Linked DNA regions of Sus scrofa. The protein of the gene in region 1 purifies or fractionates together with the protein of each later gene. This does not show direct contact. Links are inferred from orthologs where the notes say so. Each region holds a gene or a part of one and is shown on either strand. Other genes may lie near its edges.

Region 1 (10,903 bases):
ACAAGATACACTTCTCAGGCATCTTCTCCACCACCTTTCAATGCTGGGACTTTGCCCAGACGTTAAACCCAAGCACCTCATATTTTTCTGCAATGTGGCCTGGCATCAATATAAACTAGATAACAGAAGCCAATGGCCTGGTACATTTGATTTCCAAATTTAATGCAATCTTGAAAATTTTCTCCAACAAAATGGGAAATGGTTGGAGGTTCTATATCTTCAATCCTTTATTTATCTAAGATCCTGACCCTCTTTTTGTTCCACTTGCAGCTCATGCCAGGTTCTTTACTAAACAAACAACCTCCTCCTCTCATCTCACCCTCCCCACAAACTAAGACAGAAACACCCCCTCATCTGTCTTCTACCTCAGACTCTGACCCTATAGACATACCTTAGCTCCCCTGATCAACTCTTATCAGGAAGCTCCCTCCCTTCCCCCTGCTCCCACAGCTCCCCTTACCCCTTATCCACCTGCCCCTGTAGCCCCTACACCTTCTTTGTCCCCCTCTGTTAATCCTCCCTCTATTTATCCTCCCCTTCCCTGCCCCCAGAGTCCCAATTCTCACCCCAAAAAGTGGTGGCTCTTCTCAAAATAACAAACTCTTTTATCCCCCTTTAAATATAAATGAGTCCTACTAAATTAAGCACATATGTAAATTCTCAAAATATAAAAGGGAACTAACTGGCCAGAATTAATTTTAGGTTCATGCGAACTGGGAAATACTCAGTATTAAATTAATATATTGTGTTAAAGCTAGTTTGTTGATCTAATTAATACAGACATGTTTTTAGAGTTATCAACATTAAGTATAATACCTTATTGTGGAGTTCCCATCGTGGCGCAGTGGTTAACGAATCTGACTAGGAACCATGAGGTTTCGGGTTTGATCCCTGGCCTTGCTCAGTGGGTTAAGGATCCGGCATTGCCGTGAGCTGTGGTGCAGGTTGCAGACGCAGCTTGGATCCTGCGTTGCTGTGGCTCTGGCGTAGGCCGGTGGCTACAGCTCTGATTAGACCCCTAGCCTGGGAATCTCCACATGCCGCGGGAGTGGGTCTAGAAAAGGCAAGAAGGCAAAAAGGCAAAAAAAAATTTAAAAATAAAAAATAAAATAAAGGTCTGTCTCCAGCCTAGATAAAAGGTTTCTTACCAGGAATTCTTAGTGCCATATACACAAAGAAAGAAAAAAAAAATTAACTCTTAAATTCACATTTCTCACTTAAGGGCCTCTACATTGAACTGGCTTATAGAGAGAACTACTGACTTCAAACGCACTCTAAAACAAGGCTCAAAAAAAACCCAAAAAACAAAAACCAAAAACACCAAGGCCTGGACAAAAAGAAGGTGGGATTTGTGAAGCCTTAAAAGAAAGTTGCTGCTTTTATAAAAATATGTCAGGACTAGTCAGAGAAGACATAAAACGTTTAAGAAAACAAGCAATTTGGTTCCAGCAACAAGGAACTCAAAATTTCTGGCCTTCTACCTCCTCCCTACTCTCCTGGCTAGATCCTTTTCCTACAAATCTCGTCTTTATTTTTCTTCTCCTAATAGGTGGACACCTCTGTTTCATATATTTTCTTTTTTACAGAAAACCATTGAATCGATCACAGACAAATGGGTCAACTCCATGCTGGCCTTAAGGACCTACAGGTACCACCAAATTCCTTGCATCTCCTCCACCCCCTAAGTGACAACAGGAAGAAGCTACAGAAGAAAAGAACATCACCCATTTTCCTATTAAGAACAGGGAGGAATCTTATGTGGGAAATGAAACAAGGCCTAAAAGAACAAAAAAATCAGCAAAACCCAGCCAAATCCAGACTTGCAGCCTCCTTCTTATTGAACAGGCCCATGTAACAAATGAACTCCCAAAGACAAAGATAGCCCCAAGGCCAAAGACTACATGGCTCAACAAAACAACCCTTGTCTATAAAAAACCCAGCACTCTCTGAGTCTTGCTAGTCAGAGCTCCCGACTGCTCTGTTGGTCAATAAACCCTGCTTGCAATCTCATTGCCTCCTTTTTCCCCCCGCTGTTCTAACAATATTCCCTTAAGCTTACTTTCATACAACAAATTGTAATTAAGTTAAAATTAAATTATATAATATTCATTAATTGATGTTAAAGTAAATTTATCTTGAGAGTTTTCTTATGGTGTAGTGGGTTAAGGATTGGTGTTGTCACTGCAGCGGCGTGTGTTTAATCCCTGACCTGGGAACTTCCACATGCCATGTCTGTGGCCAAATAAATAAATAAATTTATCTAAGTACCTTCCAACACATATTCAATTATACAAATGTTAATACATTAAATGAAAAACTAAATTAAAAATTAAATGATATTAATTAAGTTACAATCAATTAAGATTAATTCAATGTTAATACATAAAAATAAGGCAAGTCTTATGCTGGATGTGAAAGTCTCTGTTTAGTGGGTTAAAAACCCGTTTTGGGAGGAGGAGAGGGTCACAGATACCCATGTTGTAGCCCCTGTGTCTTTGTGTCTGCGACTGTGTTGAGGGGACCACAAGTAAAAACTCTTAGGAAAGGTGAAAAAAAATCAGATCTAAATGAGTACCAAACAAGTTGCTGTAAGTTACTATGTCCAGAGTCAAGAAATCCAGAAAAAAAATTCTCAGCCAAGCTTAAAAAAAATCTAATTTTTCCCAGACCTCTCTCTCCTCAACCCAAAACCAACAAAGTCACTTTTGACTTTGAATGTGAACATGTGGCCATTTACAATGACCACAACTTTCCCATCCAGTGGTGGGGTAAGGGGAGGGTGTACTGACATTTTTTTAATCTCACTTGATTTCCATGGTTGCCCAGGTTAGATCATTACATCATTACCCTGAGGAGATGCCTAGCTCTCTGATCTGCAGATTTTTTTTATTATACACACTTCCATTTTTTAAAAAATTAAAAATTAACTTTATAGGAGAGAACACTGTATCATATATGAAACAAGAGAACTGAAGTGGACATCACCAGGAATTGGGCAAATCTACACTCTGGTGGTCACCAGTGTTAGCTATGCAGCAGTAGGGAAAGGATAGAGTTAAACCCAAGTGTGTTTGGTTTGCAGAAACTAACCATTAAGTTTCAGAAAGTTCCAGACACCAGATGTTCCAAGAAGGCTAGGATGCATTCTAGTAAACAAGATACTACAGTGAGAACAAGTAATCAAGAACAGACTTGCTTGAAGCTTTGGGCAACCTAGAGCAACCTCTGCCTATTACAAGGATCATGCCTACTCCTAGGCTTAAAAATCCCCCATGGAGACAGAGCTTTGAGGGCTATCTCCTGTCTCCTTACTTGTCATAAGTAATAAGAAATAAATGCTTCCGGTTTAACTGAAAGTTCTTGGTGTGTTCATCAGTGAAGCACCCCAAGTGACAAACTCATTGTGTCTGGTCACACAGGGTCAGGGGAAGACTTGATGAAGCCTTTAAAATTTTTGGTCCATCCATTCTCACCACACATGGTCAGGTCATCATCATTTACTGCCAGTCTGTGGTTTCTCTGGACTAATTCTGAGGGATGAGGGCTGCTGCAGAGGCCCAGAGGCTTAATCTTGCTAAGCCTGGCTAACATCTGATAGGAGGAGTGACAGCTGGAAAGAGTGGTGGGAAGAGTCAACAGAGATAATCAATAAACTATACTAAGGAACAGAAGAGCTGTTGTTATGATTGTGGCACGTGGAAGTTCCCTGGCCAGGGAGTGAATCTGTGCCGCTACAGCGACTCAGGGCAGCTGCTGTGACAACACCAGATCCTTAACCCTCTGAGCCAGCAGGGAACGCTGAAGAGAGTTTTATTTGAGCCAAGCTGCGGACTGGGGCAGGAGTGCAGCCTCCACCAAGGAAGTAAGGGCTCCAGAGAAGCATGGTTTTCAGCACAGTTTCATACCCTGTCAGAACAAAGAGAATACATCAAACACGACAGGGGTACCTTTCTTCAAGGTTTCAACAGACCCTAGTTACAAATTAGCATATAGACAGACAGCGAGCGTTACCTTGACATCTGGAACAGGTACTTTAATCTCCAAGAAGATCTAGCATTGGTGTCATAGGAAGGGAGGCATTTCTCCCTACTGTAAAAGTGGACATTCTTTATATAATGGTTAAAGCAAAATACAAGGTATGTTTGACTGTTCTAGTTCACATAAAGTTCAGGACAAATCAGGTATAAGCCCGGCTGGCTTCATTAGTCCCCAATATGCGAAATTTTCTTCCATCAGAGGTGATATGGGAGGCGTAACAACAGGACTGATTTCCTTCCCAAAGCAAAGCACAGCATGCCTGGAGCCCATTATTAAAATACATGTGGAAGGGAAAAATGACTGAATAAGAGCGTCTCAATCGGGTAACGTTGCCAAAGCTGCCCCTTCGCCTGCGAACATCTAGACAGTACCAGCTGCTGGCATCGTAATCGACCGCCAAGATGGCGGCGCCCTCTCAGAAGCCGTTTAGGACGCTGCCATGTGTTGCCTATGAACGGAGGGACTCTGCCACCTTACGGAATCGGATTTCAAGATGACGGCGTCTGCTTGGAAATCGCTCAGTAGGCGCGACCATATTGCCTAAACGTCTGGGCCGTACAAACAGTCCTGTACGGACAGGACCCGCAGACAAGGTGGCGGCGCCCTCGGTAGAGCGAAATATAGGCGTGGCCATGTTGCTTGCGAACTTATGGACGCGGCCACCGTACGGTCTCAGTAGTCAAGATGGCGGCGCCTGAGAGACAGTCCGGGCTTTTAGGCGTGCTACTTGCTTGTTTGTCGCGGAGCGGACGCACTGGGCCTGCGCAATAGGAGTACCTTGCTTGGGAGGCGCGTCTAAAAGCGGAAGTGCTTGTGGGCGCCTTTGCAACGGCCGCGGACGCCGCCGAGCGGTCTGTGTAGGTTCGCGGGTCTCTGGCGGGGTTTGTGAGGGGCTTCGCCAGGAGCGGAGAAATGGTGAGTGCGAGGTCCCAGGATGGGTCGGCGGTCGAGGTCAGTGGGGTTGGAAGCGGCGGGTTCCATGGGCAAACGCATAGGGGGTCTTTGGTGAACCGTAAGAAGAGTCTCTGGGCAGAATGGAGGGGGCCCGTGGTAAGCCTTAACAGGAGTCTGTGGGTAGAATGATGGGGGGCTGATGGTCAGATTTTTTATTTATGCGTAAGCCACATGGGAGTTCTGTGATGAGGGTCCGTAATGGAAGTTTAGGGGGGATCCGTGGTGGTAGTTCCTTGGGGGTCCGGATGGGGGATTCTTTGTGCGGAGTGATGATAAGCTTGCGAAGAGTTGTCTTGGGCAGTCTGGAGTGAGCAGTGTGAGTCCGTGTGGAGGGACCCAGGGGGCGGGGCTGTCTCCGAGGTTAATAACCGGGCATCTGAGGGGAACCCAGGTGGGAAGGCTGAGGAATAAATCATATGGTGTCTGTGAGACCCTGTGGTGGGGATTTGTGGGGAGCCATGTCGGAGGGCAAAATATGGTGAGTGGTAGGTTGTTTGTAACTAGCCGTCAAGAGTGGGAGAGTGGAGTAATGGGCTATCAGTGGGATGAGTGATTGGAAGTCTGGGGCAGAGTAGTGGGTGTCAGAAGTGAGTCATGGGGGTGATCTGTGGGGACTATGGTGGAGAGGTTGATGAGGAGCCATGATGAGACTATTGGCAGAGTGTTGGGGTCTGTGGTGAACCTTGATGGAACTGTACTGGAGGGATGAGGTGCCATGATGGGGGTTCTCTAAGAAGCCATGGTGGGGATATCCCACAGGAGGGGGATGCTTCAGACCCAGAACCTCCAGATGCTGGGGAGGACAGCAAGTCAGAGAATGGGGAGAATGCGCCCATCTACTGCATCTGCCGCAAACCAGACATCAACTGCTTCATGATGTGAGCTGGGGGAGAGGTGGGCAGGATTGACACCTGGCCAGGTTGCGGGGAGGCCGATGGGGCAGGACCCCTCACATCTCCATCACTCACCCTGTTTTCTGCAGCGGGTGTGACAACTGCAATGAGTGGTTTCATGGGGACTGCATCCGGATCACTGAGAAGATGGCCAAGGCCATCCGGGAGTGGTATTGTCGCGAGTGCCGAGGTGAGGGAGTGGAATGGACAGGGCAGGCAAGTGGGGCTTCGAGGGAGGAGGAGGAGCCTTTATGGGAAGGTGAGTCCTGGGGAGCGGTGATATGTGTCTGGGGACAGAGTGATTATTGGTTGTGCTGAGCTGGAACGGAGGCTTCATTGTGAGCTGTGATAGAAAGTCCCACTGGCAGGGGCAGCTCTTCTGGGGGTATGAAGACAGAGCAGGTGGGTGGGACAGAAGAGGAGAGAAGGGGAAGAAAGACTTCTGGGACCATCCATATCTCCCAGTGCCAACACATGCTGGCTGTATCCTCTGTCCCACAGAGAAGGATCCCAAGCTGGAGATCCGCTATCGGCACAAGAAGTCACGGGAGCGGGACAGTAACGAGCGAGATGGCAGTGAGCCCCGGGACGAGGGTGGAGGGCGCAAGAGGCCTGTCCCGGAAGCGGACCTGCAGCGCCGGGCAGGGACGGGGACAGGGGTTGGGGCCATGCTTGCCCGGGGCTCCGCCTCGCCCCACAAATCCTCTCCACAGCCCCTGGTGGCCCCACCCAGCCAGGTGAGTGGCTTTGATGTCTGGAATAGGTGAGGGGATCCTATCTCAGGCCCTGCTCTGGTTCCTAATTTCTGTTCTGGGCACCTCGTCCTAGCATCACCAGCAGCAGCAGCAGCAGCAGCAACAACAGCAGATCAAACGGTCAGCCCGCATGTGTGGCGAGTGTGAGGCCTGCCGGCGCACTGAGGACTGTGGCCACTGTGACTTCTGCCGAGACATGAAAAAGTTCGGGGGTCCCAACAAGATCCGGCAGAAGTGCCGGCTGCGTCAGTGCCAGCTTCGGGCCCGGGTGAGCATGGGCAGGGCTGGGCAGGGTCTGGGGGGGCCATTGTCTTCAGAAAGAGATGATTAAGGCTAGGGCGGGTGGGCTGGGTGGGGTGGGGCATAATTGTATACAGATAGCTGGGGAGGAGCCCGGCCTGTCCTGATGAATGGGGTGCAACCAGGTGTGCTGGGCTAGCAGGGGAGCCCCCAACCTCAGCTGGGCAGGGTAGGACCAGATGTTTCCAGGTGGTCAAGCATGTCAAGGCAGGTGGGGCAGGGCTGAGCATGTCCTAGTGATGGGGGGGCAGGTGTGTTTAGGGAGTTGGTGGGGTCAAGCACTTGTGGAAAGGGTAAGGGCAGGGCCACCCTCCATCCACCTGGGGCTGACCTGGGCCTTCCTCCTGCCGGCACAGGAATCGTACAAGTACTTCCCTTCCTCGGTGAGTCCAGCCCCCCAGGGCGGGCGGGGCATGCGGGCAGGGCGGTCAGGGCCAGTCCTGAGATTCTGCCCCGCAGCTCTCGCCAGTGACGCCCTCAGAGTCCCTGCCAAGGCCTCGCCGGCCACTGCCCACCCAGCAGCAGCCACAGCCATCGCAGAAGCTGGGGCGCATCCGTGAGGACGAGGGGGCAGTGGCATCTTCGGCAGTCAAGGAGCCACCAGAGGCTACGGCTACGCCCGAGCCGCTCTCGGACGAGGATCTCCCACTGGACCCTGACCTGTACCAGGACTTCTGTGCAGGGGCCTTTGATGACCATGGCCTGGTGAGCAGGCAGAGCGTCCCATGGTGGAAGGGTAGAGGTTACAGAAGCAGAGAATGTCCATAATGAGGAGAGAGGAGGCAGAGGGTATGGAAAGCTGATTTGGGGACCGAGTGGGTGGTGGGGAAGTTAGGAGTGGAGCAGGCGAATCAGTGCCTGCCTCACTTGCAGCCCTGGATGAGTGACACGGAGGAGTCCCCATTCCTGGACCCCGCGCTTCGGAAGAGGGCCGTGAAAGTGAAGCATGTGAAGCGTCGGGAGAAAAAGTCTGACAAGAAGGTGATGGAGGCAATGGAATTGGGGTGGGGAGGGAGGCCGAGAACCAGGAAGCGGGGTGGGTGGGGGTGTAGGGGGAGACAGGACCTGGGGTTGACTTCAGCTCTGCCCTGACCCGACCAGTCTTCTCCACAGAAAGAAGAAAGATACAAGCGGCATCGGCAGAAGCAGAAGCACAAGGACAAATGGAAACACCCTGAGCGCGCTGATGCCAAGGACCCAGCATCGCTACCGCAGTGCCTGGGGCCTGGCTGTGTGCGCCCTGCCCAGCCCGGCTCCAAGTATTGCTCAGACGACTGTGGCATGAAGCTGGCAGCCAAGTGAGTCATTCCTGGAGGGCTTAGGGGGTCAGCGAGCACAGAGTAGGGCATGACCAGAGCCCCCTTTATGCCGACCAGTCAGTCACCTCACCTGGCCACCTGCCACCATTCAGTCAACCAGGCACCCACCTGTCCATCCAGTGACTTACCCATCCATCCATTTGCTCATCCACCCAGCTATCTCCCATTCAGTCACCCATTTACTTGTCCCTTCCCCATTGCATCACCCACCCATTGGGTGTCCACTTCCTCACCTTGTCGCTGGCCTTCTCCCCTGCCTGCACCGATGCTCTGCCTCCCTGCAGCCGCATCTATGAGATCCTCCCCCAGCGCATCCAGCAGTGGCAGCAGAGCCCCTGCATAGCTGAGGAGCATGGCAAGAAGCTGCTTGAGCGCATTCGCCGGGAGCAGCAGAGCGCCCGCACCCGCCTTCAGGAGATGGAGCGCCGATTCCATGAGCTTGAGGCCATTATCCTGCGTGCCAAGCAGCAGGCTGTGCGTGAAGATGAGGAGGTAAGCAAGCACGGGCACAGCAGCTCGGGGCCTGGTACCAGGTCCTGCCTGGCCTCACCGTCCCTTCTCCCCGGTGCAGAGCAATGAGGGTGACAGTGATGACACAGACCTGCAGATCTTCTGCGTCTCTTGCGGGCACCCCATCAACCCACGAGTTGCCTTGCGCCACATGGAGCGCTGCTATGCCAAGGTCAGGGTGTCGGCCTGAGGGGGCGGACGGTGTGGGGACAGCATTGGGTCCCTGGGGACAGATGTGCCGTCTCGCAGGGGCACACGGCATACATCCACAGTTCCCTCCGTTTGTGCTCACCCCTCCAGTATGAGAGCCAGACGTCCTTTGGGTCCATGTACCCCACACGCATCGAGGGGTAAGTGTGGGCGCTGCTGGAGGGTGGGGCTTGGAGCAGGGGGTGTTAGGGCTGGGGTCAGAAGTGGAACGTTGTGGGGCTTGGGCAAGGAGGTTGTGCCCCCTCTGCTCCCACAATTCCCTTCTCTGCTCCACACCACCAGGGCCACCCGCCTCTTCTGTGACGTCTATAATCCTCAAAGCAAGACGTACTGTAAGCGGCTCCAAGTGCTGTGCCCTGAGCACTCACGGGACCCCAAAGTAAGGGTTTCTCTCAACTCTCCCATCTGCTTCTTCCTCCCTCCCTCCCTGCCCCATAGTCACCCCTTCCTCGCCCTCCTTCCTTCCCTGTAGCCTGCCTCCCCACTCACAGCTCCCTGTCCTCTTCACCCTCATTCCTCTCCTCTGCCTGTTGCATCACCTCCTATTCCTCCCTTTATCCTGCCTCTTCATCCTTGTCCTCCCCTTTGCATTCCTTCCCACCTTCCCCCGAACTCACCACTCCCTCTTCCTCCTCCCTGACCACTCCCCACTCCTGCCTCCTTCCCACCTCCCCACCCCCATCTCCCCGCAGGTGCCAGCTGATGAGGTATGTGGTTGTCCCCTGGTTCGGGACGTCTTTGAGCTCACAGGTGACTTCTGCCGCCTGCCCAAGCGCCAGTGCAACCGCCACTACTGCTGGGAGAAGCTGCGGCGGGCCGAGGTGGACCTGGAGCGCGTGCGTGTGGTAGGTTCTGATGCTGGTTGTGGCCAGGGTCAGGCAGAGGTCACCAGAGCCCCTTCTCACGGCTCCTTCTGCTCCCCGGCAGTGGTATAAGCTAGACGAGCTGTTTGAGCAGGAACGTAATGTACGCACAGCGATGACCAACCGAGCAGGCTTGCTGGCCCTGATGCTACACCAAACCATCCAGCATGACCCGCTCACAACCGACCTGCGCTCCAGTGCCGACCGCTGAGCCCCAGTGGCCCAGATGTCCTCTTTCCCTGCACTCCTGGCGGGAAGGGCCCTGGATCCTCGTTTGTCTGTTCTGCCATTCATGTTTCTCCGGTGGCCCCTGAGTTTCTCCTGGTGCACATCCACCGTCTGACTGCCTGTTTGCCCTCACCACAGGGCCTCGGAATTTTCTCACGTTCTTGTGTATCCCTCTGTTTCTCCATTCTCTGTGCCTGGGAGGGACTGTGGAGTCTGCTCACCCTGGCCTCCCCCAATTCTGGTTTTGTTAATAAAATTTTGATGAACCAAGAAAGTCAACTACTGATGGTCTCCAAGCTTTATTTAGTTGCAGCTGCGTTCCCACGCCCCTGGAGTAGAGTGGCACACTGGGACTCAGGAGGGGCTGCAGTACAGGTATAGGCTGTAAGTATCTGGTTGCCACCCACTCCGGTCTGCAGGCCCCCCTTGGGCCGTGGGGATATGACCTGCTGAGGGAGAGCCCAATGACCTGTATTCTCAGCCTGTCATTGTGGGACAATGTGTATACAGTTGGCGCTCATAACATGTATGATTGATTTATCATTCCTGTGTAAACAGGAATGTTCTTTTGTTTGTTTTGTTTTGTTTTGTTTTTAGGGCTGCACTAACGGCTTATGGAAGTTCCGAGGCTAGGGGTCTAATCGAGCTGCAGCTGCCAACCTACACCACAACCACAGCAACCTGATCCTTAACCCACTGAGGCGGGGCCAGGGATTGCACCCGCCTCCTCATGGATACTAGTCAGGTTTATTAATCACTGAGCCACAGGGGGATCCCCCAGGAATATTCTTGTTTACTCCAATTAATATTTTCCAGACTAGGAGACCCCATCG
Region 2 (9,887 bases), on another chromosome or scaffold:
GGTCATGAGAACCGCATGAAATTGTGCATAAAATAATGTCTGCCACCTGACAGCACCTGGTTCATTTACTTCTTCCTTTCAAAGGTTTGTTGAATGAGGAAGATACTTGATGAAAGCAGTGTTTCAAGAATGATGGCCAAATGGGAGCCTGGAGGCTGGAGTCAGAAAGGCTAGCTAGGTCTCAGGCTGTGTGACCAATTTGAGAGGCTGGGTAATTACTACCACATGGCCTTGGACCTGAGCCCATCCCCAGTGACAAGACCATAAAAGCTGACCTCTTGGCTCCTCCGTGGGTAAGGTGATGGACAGGGTGCAATACACAGCGCCAAAGAAAGCCTGTCTGCTCCAGCTTTCCTGTCTGCTTCCCACCCGGTCCTCAGCAGCCTTTGGGCAGCCAAGGAGGCAGTACCTGGCCTCCAGCCAGTGCTGATCCAGACGCAATTTTCAAGTCCAAACCTCGGTGCCAGCCTTGGGCACAGCCAGGCCCTGACCTTTGCTAAGTCCCCCCAGACATCGCTCCTCTATCTTTAGTAGCCACTGGCAGCCTTCCTGCAGGGTTCCTGGCAAAATCCTGAGTTGCTTAGCAAACTCATCTTAAGAAGACGGCTTATAGCTTTTGAAAGCTTAGGAGGTGTAAACGACACGCAGACATTTCTAAGCCAAAATGGCCAAATGCACAGTCCTTGCAACGGACTAATGAGATGATTAGGAGAAATAAAAATAAAAATAAAAAATAAAAAAGAGATCATAGTCTCGCCTTCCGGAGCTATTAGAATAGACACTGATTTCATCCACTATGTAGACACTATGTTTATCCATTAACACAATCCAACTGTCATTACAGTCAGCATCGCTGACTTCCCAAAAAGGTTTCCTAAAGTGAAAATGATTTTTAGTGTGTGTCAGAATCATCTGGAAGGCTTGTTGGCCCCCTCTCCAAGTCTCTGAATCAATAGGTCTGGGGTTGGGGCTGCACATCTAATTCCAGGGTGATGCTGCTGCTGGTCGGGTGATTATGCTCAGAGAAGCCCTGCTGTAATGAACCTGCTAGTATTTATTCAGTCCACAGCACTAGTGAGTGACACAGAATGCATGGACCTCTACAGCCCCTTGGGAGTACATAGAAGCTAAGAGTAAATGGCAGAAATAGGATAAAACAGTGCCTGAAAATGTGACCTAAGAGTCACAAACTTCTGTAAGTGGAGGAAAAAAATAAGAGAGAGGAGTTCCCATTGTGGCTCAGTGGTAATGAACCTGACTGAACCCAGTATCCATGAAGACTCAGGTTCAATCCCTGGCCTTGCTCAGTGGGTTAAGGATCTGGTGCTGCCATAAGCTGCAGTGTAGATCGCAGTTGTGGCGCAGACTCTGCGTTGCTGTGGCTGTGGTGTAGGCCGGCAGCTGCAGTTCTGATTCGGCGCCTAGCCTGGGAATTTCCATATGCTGCGGGTGTGGCCCTAAAAAGAAAAAAAAAAAAAAAAAAAAGAGTTAAACCATCATGACTGGGTGGACCTCTTGGTCTGGCAACACCAGTCGAGCATTTAGACTGGTACCTGGAGACATGCTGGGAGCAACCGTCTCCAGCAGCAATTGTAGATGCTGCTCCAGGCGAAGGAAGTGGACTACGAAAGCGAGCGTGGGGTTCTTCTGTGATCGCGACTCTCAGGCTTTGATGGTTTCTAAAGATTGGTCATATTTGTTGATGTCTTACTGAGGTCAGTTCTGTGCTTCATGAGGCTTTTGCAAATGGCAGTGGTTTTTCCAACTCCAGGGAGAAGCTTTGAGGTCCAGGGCAACTAGTTTCCTGTTTAGGAATGAATATAGCCAAGTGTTTAGGGGTGAGATATTTTTGGTGGCCTGATCTTCCTCAGGGAAATTCTTTACCTCAGAACACACAAGATTTTTCTAGGTTCTGCCTGCCTAATCCAATACCCAAGCCTGAGGACTCCGTCAAGAATGCAGATAGGCTTGGTGAGCGACCGGTTCTTATGGTTGGGGCCACAGCTGGCTGTCGTTTTACCAGCCTCTCCTTGGGTTGTTTGTCTGGTCTCACTTTCCTGGCCTCGATCTAACTACACTTACTCCAGGGTACATGGGCACTACTTTCATTTCAGTCTGGCTCAGCTGAGAGTCAAAGACAGTCCTCTGTCCCTGCAGTAGCGATGGGTCTGGTTACTTCTGTAATCTGATGATTTCATTTGAAAAAATTATCTCTAGTCTACAGTGACTCTTAGTGGATAGAATAGTGGCTAAAATGAAGAACAAAACTCCTTGGTAACTTGGCGTATTTACCACTTTGTGAAAATCAGGACGTTTCTTATCAACTGGTACAAGCTTCTCTAGTAATGGAAAGAGAACAGAGATGGACCAAAAACTATCTGCCAGAAAGCATATACAACATGGTCCCTTGGGCGTTTGGGGGCAGAAGGATGAGGCCTTCTCTGGGTTGCTCTATTCTACCCTCTGTCACTGGGTTGAGGTCAGTGTTAGAGGGGCTGGATTGACGGAAAGAGGCTCTGCTGAGACCTCTCTCCTGGAGCAGAGGCTTCCCAGGGAAGGAACTTCGCCTTGAAGGCCTTGAAGAGGGGCTACTAGACTGAGAAGCTTCTTTGCAAAGCATAGGACTGGTAAGACTGGTCATTCCATGTTTACCTATCAGTAGAGTGAAGAGGACTGGAGGGGCCCTTTTCTGGGCACTGAGGACTTGCCTGTTAAATCCCAAACCAAAAAGGACAGCAACCTTTTTCACCTGGAAGAACACCCTTTAGAAGGAAATGCTACCTGCCCTAAACATGTGGCTGGCTTGCTTTAAAATGAGGATACATGCTGTCCGAACCTTTTGCTAACCATGGAAGTGCAGCCCTAAATTATGGGTGTTGATGGGAAAGGTGAACATTTAAACATTAAGGTTAAAATTTGAGTTAACAATATCCAGTAGGAGACTCAACTAAAAACCAAAGACTCTTGGTTTGAAGTCGGTTTTGCTATCCTCTAAAGCTTGGGATGCAAAATGCTGGGGGTCCTGTGGAACTTATCAGAAATACTCTCAGGTCCTCCTAGAGCTTCGGAATCAGAATATGCACTTTGATTCTGGTGATACTTCTGCAAACTCCCAAGTTTGAGAGAAACACTGACAGAGCAGACTGCCCACGACTAAAGACCAGCATCAGCAATGGTCAGGGGAAGTGAGGAAGGTCTCGCCCACTTCCGGCCACACTCATGATGGTCATTCCAAGGTGTGTCTACCAATCCTTCAATGTCATTGTGTCATGTGCTGTACACAGGAATGGCACGTAGGCCGAGGAAAAAGGTTTCCCTGCACACCTGGAGTCTAAGAATGATTTGAAGCTTCAGAGTAAGAGTATCAAATGGTTTTATTACAAAACTTAAGCCACTTATTGATTATTCACCTTCTAAAAAACACATACATGAGAATCAAATACACACACTTAGGACTCACTAGCCTTTGCAGGATAGGAAGAAGCAAGCCTTGCACAGAGCACCTGCAGAAGTTTTTCCTTCCACCTAAGCCTGCATTTCTCCATGATTTCTAGGGTCCGCGTTTTGACACCGCTTACCGGGGAAAGGGAACTGAAGCTACAAGAGTCACGTACCAGAGGGTCGCAGCAGTCTCAAAGCTCCTTGATGCTAAAGGCTTATACACTCTAACTTGCAACTCTGAGAAACAGTATCAAATAAGCACTGTCAAATGCCCACTCCTGACTAACCGTTACTGTCATTCTTTGAAATTGCATCTTGGGACTAGATCCGTTCCTTCATTGGTAACGTTTGCTTATCCCCAGGCACAAACCCTAAAATCTGCACGCAGTCTCCAAGTTCAAGTATAAAGGTTTGTTTCAGGACAACCCCAGGTTGATGTAGTGTTTCTTAATATATCTGTAGTGTCTACTGGGTGTCATCAGCTTAGACAAACTGGCCAGATGGCAGCACACTGTGGGGGCACACGTGTCAACTTTCCTACTGCTACACTCGTTCCCTATTCTGTCTGGGCACTGCCCCACAATCCAGGTTGGATCTTGACGTCAGTGATGACCTTGGCCTGTCTTCATTCTAAAGTCGTACTCTTATGTCACTGAATCCAGGTCTTCACCACTAATTTAGTGGAGCTTCCAAAATGTGTGAGGCATATTCTAAAAAGAAAAAATAATCATATCAAAATGTTAGTTTTGTGTTATGTTTATGTGCTAAAAGGAATTGAAATTAAACTAGAAAGACTGAAATGAATGCTTTACACTCCATAATGGAACTGAGGTCCTTTAATATAGGCACAAAGAGAATTTCTCTCTTGAGTGCCACACACGAGCCTGATATTCTTGTTTTGTTCACTCACTGATACTTATCTTATTTATCAAAAATAACAGACACCTTGAAGAATCTCATAAAAAGAGCCCCAGGGTAGAATGAGGGGATAAGGCACTCCCTAATGGTTACCAACAATGGCTAGAAACCAACCACTGCTTACTTAGTAATCACTGCTTATGTTTATTAATGTCTCCCAACCCCTGCAAAAAGCATTGTGTTGTACATCTACAGCTGATTTTTATCATTTCAAATGTAATGGGGAGAAAGAAAAAGAAAAGAGTGCTCACAACAGAAGAATCCCATGATAACTGATGGTGGTAAATTGAAATCCTTACTAAATACAAGGCAACCCAGCAGTGCACAATGCAGACTCCAAGCCCATTTAGGATGCTGCTTTAGAATGCACAGCTTGATTTTTTTATATTCAAATTGTAAACCCAAGTTAACTCATGCCCAGGGGAGAGACTTATGTAAGCAATTTCAGAACAACAAGATTTTCATCTGAATTTGCCTTCCGCACACCAATCATCCCAGCTGGTTTCTAATGAAGCATCTATTCATAGCTTAAATGTTCAGCTCTGTTGACACAGAAAATCATACTACTCACTGACACAGGAAAATGCTACTAATTAGTTCTTAGTAAAAAATAACTCATGACAAAATGAAGTCCATTTGCAGTAAAAACTTTTTTGAATAGATAAGAAACATGATCCTCAGTAATGGCTTACCCCTTTTCTATCCATTTTCTATATCTACAAGCCAGAGGTGAATGCTCCTGGACAAAAGATGGATACTGGACCTTAGGAGGCATCCTGGGATGGAGCTGGAGGGTCCTGGCTTTCAGGCTCTGGAGGGGGTGCTGGCACAGCTTCTTTTTTCTGGGCTGCCAGGAACTCATGAATTGCTCGTTCTATCTGTGGCCTGAAGATGTGGTTTAGTTTGGGATCCACCACCTGGGAAATAATTCTGTCCACTCCAGCTTCCAACATCCCTGACCTTGAGGAGACAAACAGATCGTTCCATTATTTAACCCCCACTCCCACCCCAACCTTGTACAAAAGAACAGAACAAAACTATCCCAAAGACAAAGAACAAAGACTTGGTAGGAAAGAACCGATGGCACAGGGAGGCTGAAAACCTCAATGGCACCAGCAAAGCCTCCCGCCTGACTCCGCTTCCTCCAACATCTGTCCTCCCAGGAGTCAAGGCAGGAGAAGCAGCCTCCAGCAGCAACCTGCCTACTGCCTCTTAGGCTTACGCAGCACAGCTCAGTCAGGGCTAGGAACGTGTACAGCTTCACCAGCAATTCAACAATGCCTTCAGCTGGACCACTGTTACACACACTAGGCCACTTGGAAGCAAACAAGTACACAGACTAGAAACAGACTGGTTCTCAGCTCCTAAAGGGCTAAAATACAACCCCAATCCTTTCTGAAGAGCATATATTAGTCAAAATGCCTATATTCCAATACCAAGGGTGGGTGGTGAGGAAGATTATGGTTACAGGAAACAAATCACATTTGAAGAGTTTGGAAAAAATAGTCCAAATTCATTTGTCTAGTTAATTGTTTAGTTAACTGACCTGTTAATTGCAGGTCAAACTAAACTGTTCTTTTTAAAGGCTTACAATATTCAAATACTGTTACAAACGTGGTAGACAGGTTTTACCTACTTTCCTTCAGACTTGAGTTCTTAGGCCATTCAAGCGTTTGCTGAGGTAAAAGTAGGTCCTGCAGTAATGGGGCAAATGGTGTGTCAGGGTACAGCCAGGGAAATAACTTAAGAGAAACGAGAAGCAGGCTCTGGACTGGTTAGGTTGAGTGGTGAATCAAATGCTCCCTAGATCCAGCGCTAACTGACAGCTTAGCAAGAGGAGGCCTACATGTACACAGGCCGCCATGAGAGTAGAGGGGCACTTCCAGGCAGAGCCCAGTAGACAGCGTGTGCCCTTAGAGATGAGCGCCGTGGCACCCAGTGAGGTCAGCAGCAGGACATGGGTCAGTGGGGAAGCAGAGCCACCCCTCCTTAGTCACAAGTCAATGGCTTCCTGCCTCCACTACCCTGCTGCCAGGGTTTGAGTCACAGGGGTCTTTTCTGGGGGAGAAAAGCCTGATCAAGGAAAACAAAGTACCAAGAGTATAGCTTCCTCTTCTGGAGATTTTAAGAGTGTTTGGAGGAAACAATCTTGTTAGGAGTCTAAAACAGAAGAGGAAATGAACAAATATCATGTAGCTAAGTTTCCTCTGCTCTGTTACTTAAGCTTAAGAAGAAATATTTTTTTGTGTTAAGGATTAGCAACAAATAAGGACCAATGCCAGCCATGAAATAGTTGCTCAGTAAGTGGCAGCTACTGTCCCCTTCTCTAGTCTGCTCCCTAGAGAAACAGAAAGGCACTGAATAATGAATTCAGAATGACAAGGTACTGGGCTTCCTGCGGTAGCTTGCTTGTTTCCTAGCCCCAAGAGCATTTACAAATTTTAGTTTAAAAAGATTCAGATTTCACCAACCATCATGAAAGTGTCAGATTGCTAATAAACATCTTTTTCTATTTTTAAAACCTTTTTATTTTGAAATTATATAGTCATAGACAGTTGCAAAGAAATACACAGGGAGGTCCATGTACTCTTTACCCAGCCACCTCTAATGTTTGCATTCTGTACAACTGCAGTACAGTATCAAAACCGGGACATAGGAAAAAGGAAAAATTCTATTAACTCTGTGTGCTGATGAATGTTAACTAGACTCACTGTGGTGATCATTTCAAAATACATACAAATATCAAATTGGTATGTTTCAAACTAATCATACCTGAAATCAATATGCTGTATGTCAATTATACTTCCCAAAAAAGGGGGAAAAACCAGCACAGGTACAATCCTGACCTCATTTACGTCTCAGTGACAGCTGCACTCGTGTGCCTCTGTGTGGGGAGCTCTGTGCAACTTGAACATGAGTAGCCTCAGGTAACCACCACGATTAAGGTACTCACCTGTCCCACACCCGCTTCACGCTACCTCTTTCTAGGCACACTCATACCCGCCCCCCTCCCAGCCCCAAGCCCCGGGAATCACTAATCTACTCCATCTCTATAATTACAGTGGTTCACAAATGTTATATAAATGAAATCATGCCCCATGTTATCTTTTTGATATTGGCTATTTCTTTTTTCCCCACTCAACACAGTTCCTTGATAGTTCTGTTTTAAAGAAGGCCTCACAAGCTTTTAGATATTTCAGGAATTAGTAGATCAAGAAAGTCTGCACATAAGCATATTAAGAGCAAAAAAGGATTCTGAATAGATTAGAAAAATCTTATCTTAGGACATCAGCTACCTCCACTTCTGTGCCCCGTGACAGTAGCACCTCATTAACTAAGGTTCAGTTTGCTTCTGTGAAGGCCATACTTTAGTAAGACTCCATGCCTTCCTGGAAGCTGCCAGTACACTTTACAGGGGCCAGATGGATTCAGAGAACTTGTATAATGTACGCTGACTTGTGAGAATAAAGACCCACCTACGCTTGCCCAAGACCCAAACATTGATATGTTGGTATGAACTCCAGTGTATGTTCAGACTCTACCGAAAATGTCAAAGAGCATGAAATGTGTCCTCATGTGGAACATCCTTCCCAGTAGAGATGCACATGGGAGGCCTATGTAGGAAGAAAGAATTTCAATTGAGTTTTTGGCTTACTTCAGTCTTAATTTTAATAAAGGAAGGGTCTGCTGCAACTTGTGTGTCGTATACCTTGACCAGCAGTGACTTGCCTCGGCCTTCCTGTGTGCCATGCCTGTGATGACTGCCTTTCGCTCTCAATTCTGCTTACTTACTGAACCACACTCTGCCGCAGACCATTTCGCAACTGGTTTTTGTTCATCGTAGGATTCCATTCCTGCTTGTCCAGGTGTGTTGACACAAAATTATCCACTTTCTGCCTCAGGTTTTGGTAAGCTGGCTAAAATAGTAAAAAGAAGGGGCAAGGTCAGGACTTACATGAACCAAAGTTTTGGAAATTAGTCATTCAGAACATTGCTTTTCATAGCAACACAGAATTTCAAGTCCTTAAAAACAATTCCACTGTGTCCATGATCACCGTGCAGCGTGGCAGAGCATGAAGTAACGACCATCATGTGTGCCTACTTTATGGTGGGTGGGCACGATTTTTTGACCCTACTTACTTTTCAAAACACCTTCCAAATTGAAGGAAATGGGCTCTAGCCCAGCTCTGCTGCTTACGAGCTCTCAGGACTTAACAGTCAGCCAACCTCTGAGTCTCAGGTATTTCCATCTGTAAAACAAGTATTAACTGCCCTGCTTAACCAGGCAGGTCCGCAGCATAAAATGAAGGGCCACCCAGACCGCAGCATGACTCCCGAATGCAGACCAAAGTCAAAGCCTATGGACAGTGGGAAAGGCTGAAAGGAAGCAAAAGTCAAGTCCCCAAAGGAGCCTGAGAGGTACTTAACTGGTCTCAAATGTTCAAGACCCAACTGGGATCAGGAGAACAAATACCAGAAAGGAACTTGATAAACACAAGGAATCCATGCAAACACAAGGAATGCATGTTCTGAGGCGCCAAGATCTTCTGGCACTATCAGCCGCTCTTCTCCAAACCAGGTGTTTCATACTTCACTCCGGAATCCTTCCCACCCCAGCGATGTTGTGTTGAGCAGTGTGATTTGCTCTGGCTGATGGAGTCGCAGCGACAAGATGTCCGAAATGTGGTTGTGTCGTCTGCCTTGGCTTGTACTCTGGTGATTTTCTGATGAGTGTATGTCCTCTGCACCCCCTGTCCCTTTAGCCTGGGACCTAGGACAGGTACATGTACAACACTCCTAACCCCAACTCACAGCTTGGACCCCTAGTCCAGGCTGCCTACAGCTGAGCCACCAAGCCTATCCATAACAACTGAAATTCAGCTGACTTGTGATTCCATCAGCCTGAGAACAAATACTTGTTATAAGCCGCCGAGATTTGGGTTCTTTTGTAGTGTTACTGTGGAAAAAGTTTGCTAACAGCCAGGTAAATGAGATTGACAAAGGAATCAGTAGGCCCCAGCTCCATGAGTGGGCTCTTTCTAAAAGCCATGACTCACAAACAAAGACTCGCCACTAAACCTGGAAAGAGGAAGGAAGGGAGATGGTGAGGAATAAAATTCACAGATGCCCATGTCCTATCTGCCTAGCAACTCCTTTTTCCTGGTAACCATCTTCCCCTCTTCACAAGAGTAGGGCAGCGGGTACCATGTTCTCCTGGTCACAGGGGTGGGAGTCTGACCCATGTGCAGACATTCCCTGGGATTTTTTGAACTGGGAGTTGTTTCTAGAGGAAGAAGCTGTAAGAGGCAACCCAGAGATGCCAACAACCAAATGGATGACTCTGCTCTGCAGTAGCAGTTAGAATTACAAAGAACAGAGCTGAAAGGCAGCCCTAGTGGAGCATCCCTGGTTCCAGAGCGCCCCTACCTTTCTGGTAATGTGTTCATTCTATTTTTCCTTAGATCCCATGAGTCAACAGATTCTCCCCTTTGCTTACAGGGGTTAGAATTACCTTTGTCACTTGTAAC

What was found.
Region 2: the proteins of CXXC1 (region 1) and BOD1 purify together in Homo sapiens (affinity purification with mass spectrometry; 4 studies listed by BioGRID and IntAct, counting the BioPlex papers as one, with this or other methods). This does not show direct contact. The link is inferred for Sus scrofa from reciprocal best matches to the Homo sapiens genes CXXC1 and BOD1.

What each region holds. Positions count from the first base shown.
Region 1 is NC_010443.5:99,933,940-99,944,842, reverse strand, and holds CXXC1 (CXXC-type zinc finger protein 1), read left to right. Parts: upstream 1-4,717; 5' UTR 4,718-4,950; coding exon 4,951-4,953; intron 4,954-5,751; coding exon 5,752-5,870; intron 5,871-5,974; coding exon 5,975-6,075; intron 6,076-6,386; coding exon 6,387-6,622; intron 6,623-6,713; coding exon 6,714-6,908; intron 6,909-7,296; coding exon 7,297-7,323; intron 7,324-7,399; coding exon 7,400-7,645; intron 7,646-7,813; coding exon 7,814-7,921; intron 7,922-8,053; coding exon 8,054-8,238; intron 8,239-8,543; coding exon 8,544-8,751; intron 8,752-8,830; coding exon 8,831-8,941; intron 8,942-9,069; coding exon 9,070-9,119; intron 9,120-9,261; coding exon 9,262-9,358; intron 9,359-9,671; coding exon 9,672-9,824; intron 9,825-9,906; coding exon 9,907-10,053; 3' UTR 10,054-10,350; downstream 10,351-10,903. UniProt on the Homo sapiens protein: Transcriptional activator that exhibits a unique DNA binding specificity for CpG unmethylated motifs with a preference for CpGG.
Region 2 is NC_010458.4:50,736,887-50,746,773, reverse strand, and holds the end of BOD1 (biorientation of chromosomes in cell division protein 1), read right to left. Parts: intron 8,277-9,887; coding exon 8,152-8,276; intron 5,320-8,151; coding exon 5,124-5,319; 3' UTR 5,123-5,123; exon of another isoform or gene 5,052-5,122; intron 4,152-5,051; 3' UTR 3,357-4,151; downstream 1-3,356. UniProt on the Homo sapiens protein: Required for proper chromosome biorientation through the detection or correction of syntelic attachments in mitotic spindles.